2 linked regions of the Astyanax mexicanus genome follow. The protein of the gene in region 2 interacts with the protein of the main gene of each other region in a pairwise test. Links are inferred from orthologs where the notes say so. Each region holds a gene or a part of one and is shown on either strand. Other genes may lie near its edges.

The links.
Region 1: the proteins of sh3yl1 (region 2) and sh3d19 interact in binary tests that used the Homo sapiens proteins (3 or more experiments, as listed by UniProt). The link is inferred for Astyanax mexicanus from reciprocal best matches to the Homo sapiens genes SH3YL1 and SH3D19.

Annotation. Positions count from the first base shown.
Region 1 is NC_064432.1:20,714,252-20,722,087, forward strand, and holds the start of sh3d19 (SH3 domain-containing protein 19), read left to right. Parts: upstream 1-4,815; 5' UTR 4,816-5,025; coding exon 5,026-5,104; intron 5,105-7,836. UniProt on the Homo sapiens protein: May play a role in regulating A disintegrin and metalloproteases (ADAMs) in the signaling of EGFR-ligand shedding. May be involved in suppression of Ras-induced cellular transformation and Ras-mediated activation of ELK1.
Region 2 is NC_064421.1:28,973,291-28,980,941, forward strand, and holds the start of sh3yl1 (SH3 domain-containing YSC84-like protein 1), read right to left. Parts: upstream 3,023-7,651; 5' UTR 2,716-3,022; coding exon 2,715-2,715; intron 1-2,714.

The DNA.
Region 1 (7,836 bases), on a different chromosome or scaffold from region 2:
CATCTGGTGGAAGAAAGGCGCAGTTGTGCCCTGGTAGATTTCAGCAGAGGGGTCGATAAAAGATAAAAGTGTAGATGGTGGGGCTAAAGGCCAATATTTTTTAGATTATAACAATATAGTTTAAAATAAAGAGAACTGGTGTGCTTATATAAGTACCTATATGTACATGTAAATTTACTGTGTAGCTAATGTATTCTGTGGTCTGTCACACAGTAATTGGCTGTTTTCCTTCGCCCAAAGATATAGAGCAAAAAAATAAAATAAATAAATAAATAAATCATATTTTGGTGTGTGACATTTTTGTTGTTAATAAATAACATTGTTAAAATAATTATGTTTAATTTTTTAATTATTTCTCATTTGAAACATATAAATGAATTAAATAGTTCCAGTCACAGCTGCTGGATAATTTAGGCTCCAGTTAAGCAGGAGGGAGAAACTGAGGAGGGTGAAAACTAAAGATTTAAACTGAGGAGGAAAAGGAAAAAGTTTACACAAAAATAAAAAAAATGAGCAGGTAGGTTCTCCAGGTAGGCTGTAATTATAATGTGTATTTATTAAACACAGTGAATTTATATATTAAAAAAAATACTTTAACAAATAGTTAGCAAGTTGGCTAAATGTCTAAACCACATGTGTCAAACACAAGGCCCGCGGGCCAAATGTGGCCCGCCACGTCTTTTTATGTGGCCCGCGAGAGCTTGTAAGATCTTAGTGTCTATAATAAATAAGTCAGAAGCGTTCTTTGACCAAAAAATACATTTCCCACAATGCTTGTCGATTGTATTACCCGCAAAGTTACGGCTTACTGCCACTACACGGCAGTGTAGTCATTGATGTGGAAACCCTGCCGGAGGGAAGGTGTAACTTCGCGGGTGGAATTGAGACATATAAATGTTTATCCCATAATGTCCAGAAAAAGAGAAGTTGATGCAGACGGACGGCTGTGCTTCAAGGCGAAAGACCGGTATGCCTTTTGTGTTACGAAGAGTGTTACTGACCAAAATAAACGCTTTTTAGGAGAGATATAAGTTCTGTGTAAATATTTATAAGACAATAGCTGACAAAATCTGTTTTAATGACGTTAATAAACATCACTGGGACAGCGCTAGTCGCAGTTTCACCGCAGCAAAGTACGAGGACGTGAATAACTTATCTAACCAGCCTTTACTGATTTCTGCCCTCAATAACCCTTTCAATAACCTCCAATAGCCTTTAATAGTCTCCAGTAGCCTTCAACAGTCTAACCTTGCAGCCGTGGTGTGTCCACTAAATTCCGTAGTTATAAACATCCTGAGGTTAGCAGCGCGATAACTGACCTGTTTATAATGTAATCCCAGCAGTGACTCATGCTCTAAACGGCTGCTGTTAGCTGATTGGGCTGAAAGATGAACTGTAGAGAGCTGTATTATTCGGTTACAAAAATCTTTATTTCATACGGAGCCCGGGAGGGGCCGTGGATAAAAAAATAATTAAATCGAGTGAACGATGTAGCAGTTCGTGCTCACGTTTTCTTTAATTCGAGTGAACGATTTGCAATTCGTGCTCACGATTTCTTTAATTCGTGCTCACGATTTCTGTAATTCGTGCGCACGATTTCTGTAATTCGAGTGAACGATTTCTGTAATTCGTGCTCACGTTTTTATGCGCAATAAGACAAGAAGCTCGGAGGGAAAGGAGCATTTTCTCTCTTGATCTGTTACAGGGGTGCAGTAATGATAATCAGTTATCTACCTTTATAACCTGCTGTTATTAATGCACTAGTGTTACAGTTAGATGTACAGTACAGTGAGCAGATTTTGCCTGGTGGTGGAATCTCTACAGCGCGTGGGGGAGAGCCGTCCGCGGCATCGGTTCCCCCGCCGCCAGACACCTGCCGCGCGCGCAGGTCTTCACGGAGCTTATTTACCAACAATGTAGACAAATACAGTCAATTCCAGTCATGATTAAAGGAAACGAACATTTTACTGATGCAGGACAACTGTGTGTTATTAAAACCAGATCAAAACAAAGTTATAATGCAATGTGCAAATGTGTTTATTAATTTCTAAATAACATTCAGCCAGCCTCCAAGGAAATGCACACCTTCTTAAATCTGGTTACATCATTATTACTTTTATGATAGATTTAATCTATATTTTAATAATTTGTATAATAAATAAACACATAATTCAGAAAATATACATTTAAGAAGTTTATAATTATTATATTTTTTTATTTGAAGCTTGTGGCATGTTTCTGGGCAGGACACTGTGATTTGAGAATAAGCAGATATTCAGGACATTTCATCAGATATAGAAACTTAATTATTTTAGGAAACATATTGGAATAAATTATCAAATTGATCCAAATTATTATATGAAATGCCTATTTACTAAATATCTTAATACATTGTATTAATAGTATTTTAGACCAGCTATTTTGATTTTATATAGTCTTATATGAGCCATTCATAGACAACTGTCACACCTTGCATTAATTTTGTATTATCTTTATTAACTTTTACAGTGTACATTTGGACCTAAGTCTTATAGCTGTATATTTATAAAATTATACTTCTTTACGTTATACTATTGTTGAAAATAAGAAATTATAAACAGTTCCACATTGCATTATAACTTTGTTTTGATCTGGTTTTAATAACACACAGTTATCCTGCATTAGTAATGTTTGTTTCCTTTAATCATGACTGGAATTGACTATATTTGTCTATATTGTTGGTAAATAAGCTCCGTGAAGACCTGCGCGCGCGGCAGGTGTCTGGCGGCGGGGGAACCGATGCCGCGGACGGCTCTCCCCCACGCGCTGTAGAGATTCCACCACCAGGCAAAATCTGCTCACTGTACTGTACATCTAACTGTAACACTAGTGCATTAATAACAGCAGGTTATAAAGGTAGATAACTGATTATCATTACTGCACCCCTGTAACAGATCAAGAGAGAAAATGCTCCTTTCCCTCCGAGCTTCTTGTCTTATTGCGCATAAAAACGTGAGCACGAATTACAGAAATCGTTCACTCGAATTACAGAAATCGTGCGCACGAATTACAGAAATCGTGAGCACGAATTAAAGAAATCGTGAGCACGAATTGCAAATCGTTCACTCGAATTAAAGAAAACGTGAGCACGAACTGCTACATCGTTCACTCGATTTAATTGTTTTTTTTTATCCACGGCCCCTCCCGGGCTCCGTAATTTCATACACAGAAGAACTTAAAATTTTTAAAAACGCTCCAGACTGGCTGAGCTGAGCCCTGTAGCCCGTGGCTGGGCTGTAGCTCTGACTCAGTAAAGACTGCGGACTTGTGGTGCTGCTGCTGCAGCTCCCACTAGTGGTTGGATGAGGAACTGCTAAATCTGAGGAAATGCTATGTTCTTAACAGCTCACAATTTTTGATTTTATATTTATTAAGCCTTATTTCAGTTAATAATTTCAAAGTTAATATAACTTGATGTCATTTCTATTCACTTGAATAGTTTGGTTCTTGATTGGTGGAGTTTTTGGATTTCATGACATGACAAATTAAAAGGATTTATGTTAATAGAGCAACAAGCAAACATTTTTTCCATGCAACTGTAATATTTGATTGAATAAATAATATATTGAGAGTTATTTAACATTAAGGAGTAATTACATTCATTTACATATATTACATTTGGTTACATTTTATTACATTTATAAGTTACATCTGGCCCTCGGAGGACAGCCAATATGCCAATGTGGCCCTCGGCCAAAATGAGTTTGACACCCCTGGTCTAAACTAACACTCAGCTAGTGCTAATGCTAATCTAGCTAGTTAGCTAGCTGTAGCCGAACAACCGCAGGCAAGAGAAAGACACACAAACTCTTATTTAGAGGAATAATGCGTGTAATTTAAAACAGTTTAATAAAATGTTTATTTATTATTAATAATTATTTAATAATTAATTATTATTAATTATTTATTTAACCAATTTAAGTAATTTGTTGGCCTTCTTCTGACTGACTGAACTAGCTAGTTAAATGGCAATGATTTTCTCACTAAAGCAATTTGCTTACTACAGTAAAACACACACACACACACACTATAGTCTTCTTATACAAATGTACAGAAATGTAATAACATTTAAATGGCTTTAAGCTGTTTCTTTTTTTGTTAATGTTCATATGTGACAGATATATAAGTCAGAATATGTATTTAAACTCTTTTGAGTGGTTACACATAATACTGTGTCTTTCAAAACATGATTTTTAATGATAAAAAATATTTTCAACAGTCATCATATTTATAAAACTTCAGACGACACAGAAAAAAATCTAACTTAAAAACACAAGTTAAAAATAGTGTCTTATCACTTGAGCAGGATGTGCTTTTTATTTTAGAAAGTATATTGCTGTATGTGTTTGTCTCGCTTTTGCCTTAATTTTGTTAAGCAGTAAAAATATGTACGCTGTCTTGTACTTTAAACTACTACAGTTTAAACTGCTACTAGTATTTATAGCATTTCATTTTTAACTCAATGTTTATCATACCATTAGTGTTACCTAAGTCCAATTATTAGCAGTCAAGATGTTTTATGAATATTTGTGGCCTAAGCAAAGCACCTATTTCCAATATTAATATAGTGTATATAGTGCCTGATATCTTCAAGCTATAGTGGGCGTGTCATGTAGTGGGCGTGTCTTGTAGTAGGCGTGTGTATCCGTTATGCGAGATTTCTCATGTGTATTGGTGCCCTCTGGTGGGACATGTCATAAACGCCCCTCACTGTAGTTCACCTCTTTCTCTCTCTCTCTCTCTCTCTATCTCTCTCTCTCTCACTCACTCACTCACTCTGTTTTGGACAGGGCAGCACAGCAGAGCTGATCTGATCCCTCCTCTGCAGTACTGCAGTAACTATGAGAGAAGGTGTGAGGACAGTTGTTGTTCAGACAGTAGCAGAAAGTTAGTGAGGTGTTTTAACTTGGTAAATCTGTGAGTCTCATTCAGAACTATCACACTTTCATTTATTTAAACTCTGCTGAACTGGAGCTGGAGGATCTGATGGCTGAGGGGAAAAGGGAGGAGGACCCTGAGGGGCTGCCAGGTGGGAGAGCTCTGTTAAGAAGCCGATCTGCTACAGGTAACTGCAGGCTGAGTGTGATACTCTGCTCTGTGTTTTTTTGGTAAAATACTCACTACTTCTTTTTACTTTTCTACCAATATTTGAACTGGAGATAATTCTTTTTATTCAGCACTTATCACTGTGAACTTTTAGTACACTTAAGGGATGTTTTTCTCTGATATTAGGGATTTAGCCAAGTCTTGGACTAATAAACATCATTTTGAATTGCGATTTTCAATTGAAAGGAAAATATAGCCTACTACGCTCAATCTTAAAACGCTTTTATCAAACTTTCCTATTTTTCCCTGTTATAAGAACTTTAAGCAATGTTTTAGAAACAATGTTCCAGCACATTCTAAAAAAAAAGTGGGACATAATAATATGCATTATTATTGAACGTTTCTCACACAGTGACGAGTTAGTCAAACAGTAACATCATGGAAAATTCTTAAAAGTACCACTCCCAGTCCCAACACTAAAAATACAAAAACACCAAGAAGTGTTTTTTTAGTGTTTTTTAAATTTTAAACTTTTTTTTTTACTTTTAAAGACCTTAACTAAACTGTCGAAGAACATCCAGAAACCTTGACAGTTTTAACGTTTAGGAAGCGTTTTACTACCCAACATCTGGGTTGGTCCAAGTTCTGGTTTACTGTTAGCTGTCTGACTGGTTTAAATTTCACATCCTGATATTACAGAAATCAGTGCATCAATGTATAATACAGATAACAGAAATATAAACTAGATTTCACTTCAGTACATCAGTTAATATCAGTTAACTGCAGTTATATTCTCAGCTAATTACTACTACTAATTACTCCACAGCACTATGCACAGGTTTGAAAACACTGGTTAAATTACATGTGTTGTTGATAAATGTGATCAGTGATAAGTTTGGATCCAGTTTTTTGTACTCTTGTACTTTGTACTGTAGACAGACTAATTGATATAAACAGGCAGAAAGGCCAGTAATCAGACATACGTATAGATAGACAGACAGACACACACAGACTGGTTGGTTGGTTGGTTGGTTAGGGTAGTGGATAACAAAACTGGTAGACTTGAGGGTTTGATTCTGGTCTCCAAAATATGTTCCTCGCTCTACCTCACTCTACCTCACTCCACCTCACTCTATTGAACCTCGCTCTATCCGACTATACCATATTCTACCTCGCTCCACCTCACTCTACCTCACTCCATCTCACTCTATTGAACCTCGCTCTATCCGACTATACCATATTCTACCTCGCTCCACCTCACTCTACCTCACTCCACCTCACTCTATTGCACCTCGCTCTATCCCACTCTACCATATTCTATCTCACTCCACCTCAGTCTACCTCACTCCACCTCACTCTACTGAACCTCGCTCTATACGACTCTACCATATTCTACCTCACTCCACCTCACTCTGCTGAACCTCACTCTACTCGTCTTTACCATATTCTACCTCACTCCACCTCACTATACCTCACTCTACCTCACTCTACCCGTCTCTACCATATTCTACCTCGCTCCACCTCACTCCACCTCACTCTACTGAACCTCACTCAACCCGTCTTCACATAGTCTACCTCGCTCCACCTCACACTTCCTCACTCCACCTCTCTCTACTGAACCTCACTCTACCCGTCTCTACAATATTCTACCTTGCTCCACCTCACGCTACCTCACTCATCCTCACTCTACTGAACCTCACTCTACCTGTCTTTACCATATTCTACCTCACTCCACCTCACTCTACTGAACCTCACTCTACCCATCTCTACCATATTATTCTCTAACGATCCACATTTCAGATTCACTTTAGTAGATGAAGATATGTTTTAACAGAGTGTACTATAATTATCAAACACACACAAACACACAGGTGAGGTTTGAGTGGAGTTTTGAGGGGGAAATTCCTTTCCCTGTTTTTCAGTGTTGGTGCAATGTTTGGCTGAGTCAGCGGGGTGTGTGGAAAAAGCAACCCCCCACACACACACTCCTCTCCCAAACACACACACACACATATACAGGATGTGTTGCTCTGCCAGCTGGTCTAAAGTGAGACACCTGTGTGCCCAGTACAGCAACTGTCCCATATAATTTTACACCAACCAACACACACACACACACACACACACCAGCACAGCTGCTTCTGTGAGAAATCTTAACTCAATTACAGCTAGAATTTGATAGTTTGATGGGAAATTCATCCAGACTGTCTGGAAATTCTTGGAAATCTAAAGGAATTGTTAGTGTGCACATGCCCAGTCCGCAATCCGTCCATAATTTTATATAAAAAATATATATTAAAAATAAAAAATATTTTTAGTCATCGTGCTAATTGCTTAATGTCTTACTGTTAAATAAATAGCTGTGTGGAATTGAATCAAAAGTTTAATTACAGTTAAAATTGTAGTCAAGAAGTGTACAGGAATAACTGACTACTTTCCACATGAGCTCTCAGCATGGGTGGACGATGTCCAGACGTAGGTTTTGGATTTTAAGTGTTAATAGTGCTTGCTCTTGTTAATGCAGTTACTCTTCACTAAAGTACACAAAAGCACTGCATTGATTCTTTATTTCTTTGAACTGTGTTATGTGTTCTGACACTGTGTTACTGGGAATAGTAAATTATGAAAAAAAAAAACAGTGTAGACTAAGTGATGGGTCTTACGCACAAAGAGAAATTGGTAGGTTTGCTACTGAACAAAGCAAAGTGGGGCCTCTGACAAAACTATAATTGAAGAGAATTTGGAGGTGTG
Region 2 (7,651 bases):
GGGCTAATTTAATTGCCTGTGACGATTAAGTCAAAATAATCATGATGTGTATGCCAAATGAAGAAGTGATCCTTCACCAAGACCTGATGTATCCACTCAGATCAGAACTGCAAAGTCTAATAACAGGGATTTTCCCTCTATTTTCTTAATTTTTCACTTTGCAAAAGCTAATTCACAAGCAAACTTGTGGATGGTCATCCAAGTGAAAATGTAGCTGGTTAATCATGCTATATGCATATTGCTAGGACTGTCATAATAATTCAAATATCGACTTATAGTACATTGTACATATATATTGGTGTATACGCTTGTATATAAATTATTGTGGGGATCCTAGCTAATCAACCTCGTGATAATATTTTGGAGCAATCTCTATTTACATAATTGACTTAAGTCAAGTGAAATTTCCATGGGAAGCATAAAACAGAATAATACATGAATTACTATTCTACTAGCTACAGGGTAAGCTAAGTCTAAGTTTGTATTTTGCATGTCAGAAGTTGTAAGCATAAACCAGCTGTTTAGTTCTGCACTCTGAATCTACAAGTACTTATATTTACTGTTAAACTATACCTGAACCCTTGTGAAAAATCACAAGTGTTGTGGATAAAATCCTGAGCCTGCGGCTGGTCTTCTTTACAAGAAGGTTAGCTACGTTTCTGACGTAAGATTGTAAAAAAGTGAAACAGACTGAAGCTCTGTGCTCCCTGGACAGTAGAATCTCTATTTCAGATAGTGCCGAGCACCCCATAAACCCTGCAGCTCTGCAACCTGAGAGCAGACTCTGGTAACAGAGAACAGACTCTGCTATACATCAGTTTCCTTTGTTTTTGCTTGTTCATTTGGAAGTAATTTGTTACTTGTTTCAAGCCATTTTAGCCTAACATCTTAATAATTAAAAAATCATAATAATACAACATATAGCTACTATAAACAAAATTAATATAGGTATCTGTAACTGGAGTTTTTACTAGTAAAAATAAACTACATACAAGAGAGAATAACACACCATGTACATCAATGGCAACATCTATTATAGTTATGTCATCCTGGTAATATATACTTACTCTCCTAACACCTCTAATACACTAACTACTTCTAACCCCATTTCCTTCTTCCCCTCCTTCACTTCTCTATCCCTTTATTTCCCTTCGACCTCCTTTAAGCCCTACCTAAAAATGGGTTATCTAAATTCCTATTACTTTGTACTTCATTATTGTAAGTCGCTTTGGACAAAAGCGTCTGCCAAATGAAATGTAATGTAATGTAATATCATTAGTCAGAATATCTGAACTCTGAAATTCTGAATTATGAATTTCTACTATCAAAACTAAGATAGTTTGTGGTTTGGTCATTCCCTAGTAAGTTAACTATATAGGAAATATTACATAGTAAATAGTAAATGACTATTTACTATTTACTAGAGGCTGTACATGTGACATAAGTATGTAAAGATGCATGACGTGGCCAGAAGAACTGCCTCAAAAAGCGACCCGACACACGTTTTTAGAATGAATATATTAGGCTTAGCAGGGATGGTCATTGCAGCCCACCGGTACCATTAAACACAATACTTTATCCCTTCTCCACTCAGAAATGTTTCTGTGTTCAATTTAGAAACTAAATACTACGAAGTTCCAGTTTCATATATTTACATCATACTAAAATGCATACATTTTCAATGGGCACATATGAAGCTGAAACAGGGGGCCTAGTGCATCCCAAGTTTATTTTAAGTACTTTTCCACTTTTACTTAAAGAGTAAAATGTTTGAGTTGATACTTCAACTTGTACAGAAATATTTTAAACACTAGTATCTATATTTCTACCTACAGAGTAATGCGTGTGGGGTAAATATCATATACACTCATGTAAGTGGAAAGCCATAACTCCCTCGTTCACACTGTTCATATGTCACTAGAACATTTTAAGAGATAACTAAAAAAACTAAAAAAAATGCATTCTATTATATCAAAGTCCTTGCTTTTTTAATTGTGTCAAACATGACTTTGCATTTTTGTGCCCAAAAGACTATTATTGCCTCCTTGTATGAGTAATGAGTGTGAATATTGTTCACACCTTTTTTTCTGTAGTGCACTAGGAAGTGAATCTTGTTAATTTGGAAGTCGCTCCTTATTGGCTTAACACTGATCACATGATTGACCACGTGGTCCTATCGAGAAAAAAATGGTATTAATGGTGGTCGTTTACAATACTATTTTTTTAGGTTAGTTAAGGTTAATTATTTTATAAATTTCATATATACTCATGTGCTCAATCAGGAATTGTGTAAAATAAAAAATAAACGAATTATAAAAGATATAAAAGAGAAGCTGGAACTTTTTAAACAGCATCGTGTGAGTCATCCATCAGTTGGGCTTCAAACTGCAGAGCCTGGATTAACTGGAAAATGCGCTCCTATAAACACAAAGCCACAGTTTCCAGTTAAAGTCTTTAACCCCAGTCCAGTTCAGCGCTCTGTAAAGCCTGTGTGTGGGGGGTTTTGTTAAGCCGGGCGCTATTCTGAATGGAAATCCCGGACGCTGCGCTGCTCTGCTCTGCGCGGGTCTCAGGCGGGGAGCTGTCGACAGCCGGGCGGCTCTATAATAATAACAGCAGCAGCAGCCCGTCCGGACAGCGCCGGACCGGACCCGGGGTTATAATCAGCTCCCTGCTGAGAGAAACAGGAGGAAAAAACGGACTTTTCTACTTACTTTTACCGGACTGACTGACCGCCGGGGCTGGAGAGGTTCCTTACTGTCTGTTCTCACCTGGCTCAGGTAAAGCAGCCTGCGCTGAACCCACTTCCGATTCACCTGACAAACCTGTTGCTGCCTAAACTCATGGTCTTAAAGGACCCGACTCACATTAAACTGCCCAAAAGCACAACTGTAGACAGGTGTTTTTCGCACACCGTAGGGCGAGAGGGTTCAGAGGGGTGTGAGAAAGGACTGTTTAGACTGTAGTTAAACACCGCGCTGTCAAACTTCAAGCACTTTAGATCAGGCGATCATTTGGACACATGAGGGAGAATGACGCTGAGTGAAACTCTCTCAGGACCCCTAGAGCTGTTTTTTTCCCCTTTTAATATTTTCTCTTTCTCTTTATGATCGTTGTTTGTTTCTAATTGTATTATAGTTGTAATAATATGATAATTATAATGATAATCATAAGATGACATTTTATACCAAATATGTGTTTACACTGATCTACATATCTACTGTTTTTTATTTCGCTGTTTGTTTGTTTTATTTATTTATTATAACTATGTGAAGAATGTTCTACAGTTGTTTCTGTTTGACATTGTTTGACAGATTTAAGTGCATAAAAGTAAGTCAATAGAAATAGTCTAAACAAAAATACAAATAGTATGTTTCTGTTCGAATCCCATTTTTAAATTCTTTTAAAATATTATATACATAAGATGAAATTGTATGCCAAATATTTGTTTAAATTGATCTACAAAACTATAAATACACTTTATTTATTAGAAATTTAGAAATGTTATAATTTTATTTTAGATTTAAAGCTTTTAAATTTTATTTGAATTCCAGTGTTAGCTTGTTTACTTTTTGTTGCTGTTTGTTTGTTTTATTTTAGTTTATTTTTATTCAATATACAATATATAAACATGTTCTAGAGTTGTTTCTGTTTGACTTTGTTTGATTGTTTAAGTGCATATGACTCAATAAAAAAGGGTAAATAAATACAAATTGTATGTATTTGTTCAGTCTCATTTTTAAAATGCTTTAAAAAGTTATACTATTGTAGTAGCATATAGAGTTATAGTAGTTTAGTAGTTTTTGGATGGCTGAGGTGTTTAAGTCTGTTTTCCTGGCTAACCCTAATTTACAAGTTATGTTCACAAGGATGTTCTATGTGTTCATATCATAGACTGTGGGTATAAGAGGCTGTCTATAGTTCAATAGCTACTGTAAAGGTGTGTTTAGTGTATGTCAGTTATGAACAGTTACAAAGTAAATATAATTTGTTACGCAAATCTATATTTTTTTTTTTTTCAATTTTGCTTGATTCTATCCACAAGATTTCAGAGTCTCATATCAACACCTTCCTAAAAGAATCAACCATTTTTTTTCAGTGGCAATATGGCAGTTGTTTTATTTTATTTAAAATAAGTAATGGATTAAGAGGATAATTTTTTATACAGTCAAGCAGTAGAACCGACCAGAAAAAAATCCTGATTCAAATTGTTTTAACAGTTGCAAATTGTAGATCATCTTCAAACTAGCTTTATGGACTTATGCTGCCTTCAGGTCGTGTCAGTAATATTGTATTTACGAGATGAGAGCACATGAATTTAATTTGAGATAAGCCCTGAATTTCCCAGTTGGGGGCATGTCAGTAACAAGAAGTCAGAATCAGAATCAGAATCACTTTATTTCGCCAAGTATGTTACATATACAAGGAATTTGTCTTGGTGAGAGCAACACGTGTATGACACATAACAAATACAGAGACTATAGACAAACATCACACTACAAAAGAATGAACAATAAACAATAAATAGAATAAGAATAGAGTTAAAAGTTCTACAGAAATAAAGAGCACTGAAGAGTGATAGGAGCTAAGAGCTAAATAAAATAAAATAAAATCTGTACTGTACACATATGAATATATTATTAGAACCGAATGTTTCTGAGGTAGGTTTATCTTAAATATTGCTTAGGAAGTTACAGAGGAACATCTGTATAGCTGTGCAAATAAGCAAAGTGCAAGTGAGCAGATTGTAAATCCAGTCAGTTGTGAATACAGTTCAGTGAGTGAGATGTTTGGAGACTCAGATGTGTCCACTGTGGTTAAGGAGTGCTACAGCTCTGGGAAAGAAGCTGTTTGCGTGTCGTGTTGTGCTGGTTTTGATTGTTCGAAGCCTTCTACCAGAGGGGAGAGTCTGGAAGATGTGATGTCCAGGATGTGAGGGGGCAGTCATGATTTTGCCAGCACGCTTCCTCATCCTGCTGGTGTAGATTTCCTGAAGTGTTGGCAGGTTACATCCAATGATCCTCTCTGCTGACTTGATGACGCGCTGGAGTTTTGCTCGTTCATGTGAGGTGGAGGAGCCAAACCAGATGATTATGGAAGAGGTGAGGATGGACTCGATGATCGCTGTGTAGAACTGGACCATCAAGGTCTGTGGGAGGTCAAATTTTCTTAGCTGTCTCAAGAAGAACAATCTTTGTTGAGCTTTCTTGATGATGGAGATGATGTTCCTTTCCCACTTCAGGTTCCTAGATATGGTGGTGCCCAGGAACTTGAGTGACTCCACAGTGGACACTGCTGAGCCATTGATGTAGAGAGGGGGTACGGGTGGTGGGTTGCGTCGGAAATCCACCACCATCTCTACAGTCTTTTCTGTGTTAAGCAGCAGGTGGAAGTTGCTGCACCAAGACACCAGCTGCTGGACCTCCTTTCTGTAAGCAGACTCATCACCGTTGGTTATGAGACCTACTAGAGTGGAATCATCTGCAAACTTCAGAAGCTTTACAGCTGGTTCCTTGGAGACACAGTCGTTGGTGTAGAGGCTGAAGAGAAGAGGTGAGAGAACACACCCTTGTGGAACTCCAGTGCTGAGTGTTCGTAGGTCTGAAGTTTGTTTCCCCATCCGCACCTGCTGTTTTCTGTCTGTCAGGAAATCCACAATCCACTGACACATGGAGTCTGGCACTGACAGCTGGGACAGTTTGCTTTGAAGTATCTGCGGCACAACAGTGTTGAAAGCCGAGCTAAAGTCCACAAACAGAACCCTGGCGTAGGTTCCAGGGCTGTCCAGATGCTGCAGGATAAAGTGCAGGGTCAAGTTGACTACGTCCTCGACAGACCTGTTTGCTCTGTATGCAAACTGCAGCGGGTCCAGCAGAGGTTCTGTTATGGTCTTAAGGTGGGCTAGGACCAGGTGTTCAAAGACCTTCATGACTACAGAGGTCAGGGCAACCGGTCTGTAATCATTAAGTCCAGTGATGTTGGGTTTTTTGGGGACTGGAATGATGGTGGAGGTCTTGAAACAGGCTGGAACGCAGCAGAGCTCCAGTGATTTGTTAAAGATACTGGTGAAAATTGGTGCTAGTTGTTCACAGCAGTGTTTTAGGGTGGATGGAGAGATTGAGTCAGGCCCCGGAGCTTTCCTCACCTTCTGCCTGCTGAAGAGCCTGTGGACGTCCTGCACATTGATGGAGAGACGAGCAGGGGGTGGAGGTGAGAGAGTCAGCGTGGGGGAGGAGGGGAGGTGATGATGATGGGGGGAGGCAGTTTGCTGAGTGACTTTTGGGAGTTCAAATCTGCAGTAGAACTCATTCAGGTCGTTGGTGAGCTGTCGGTCGTTCAGGAGGAGGGGGGTCTTTCTCACTTTGTACTCAGTGAGAAGTTGAAGACTGTTCCAGGCTGAAGATGGGTCATTGGCAGTGATATGGCTATTCAGCTGCTTCGAGTACACTCTCTTAGCTGCCTTGATCCCTTTCTCCAGTTTGTACTTGGCCTTTTTGTAGACAGTTCTGTCTCCACTCCTGAAAGCTGCCTCTTTCTCCCTCCGAAGCTGTTTGAGCTCAGCAGTAAACCAGGGTTTGCTGTTGCTGTATTTAACACGTGATCTGGTTGAAATACAGCTGTCTTCACAGAAACTTATGTATGACGTCAGTGTCTGTGTATTCGTCCAGTCCGTCTGTCGCCTCCTCAAATACAGCCCAGTCTGTGGATTCGAAGCAGCCCCGCAGCTTCTCAATGTCTCCACTGGTCCACCTCTTCACTGTTGTAACGACCGGCTTGTTGGATTTGAGTTTCTGCCGGTACGTGGGAATGAGGTGAACGAGGCTGTGATCGGAAAGTCCGAGAGCTGCGCGCGTGACAGCGCGATAGGCGTTTTTAATGCTTGTATAGCATTTATCCAGTGTGTTGCGTTCTCGTGTAGCGCATACGATGTGTTGTCTGTATTTGGGCATCTCCTTAGTGAGGTTTGCGCTGTTAAAATATTTAGTCAAAGTCAATGAATGAATCACATTTATTTAAATTGATAAATAAATTCTTTTTTTTTTTCTAGTGTGGATGTACTTTTTTTTTCAGATCTTTTCTTGACCTCCACAGTTCCCCTGAACTGCTATTTTCTTAATAACATTCTGCTCATATTTATATTAGACATGATGGACTGATTCAAAACATTGGAAATTCTTATTGTACCATTAGCAGGAATAATTTAATAAATAGATTAGTGCTGTCAATGTTGACACATTCAATTAATCTGGAAAAATTAACACTTTAATTTATGTAGCATCAGCTAACATTCCTGCAAAGCAACATTTATTAATGAAAACAGACATGGAGATTGCACCAAAATGCACCTTTTAGCATGTTCGGTGCAGTTACACATTCTCTCCAAAAAGGAGAATCTTTATTGTTTGATGCCCGTTTTCTCAGATTCAGTTATCAATATGAAATACGACAAACTCAGTAAACAAAGAAGATCCAGGTCCTCAAATGCCCCAGACTTGTTGAACCAAGGAAAAGGGCAATAGAGTCCAATTCCCACTGTGTTGTATTAATATTCAGGATAATCAGCACATTGTTCGTTGCATTAGAAGGTCTTTGTGTTCAAATATCATGACCTAAATAAGACATTTCTAAATATAAAAATATTTTTTTCAGC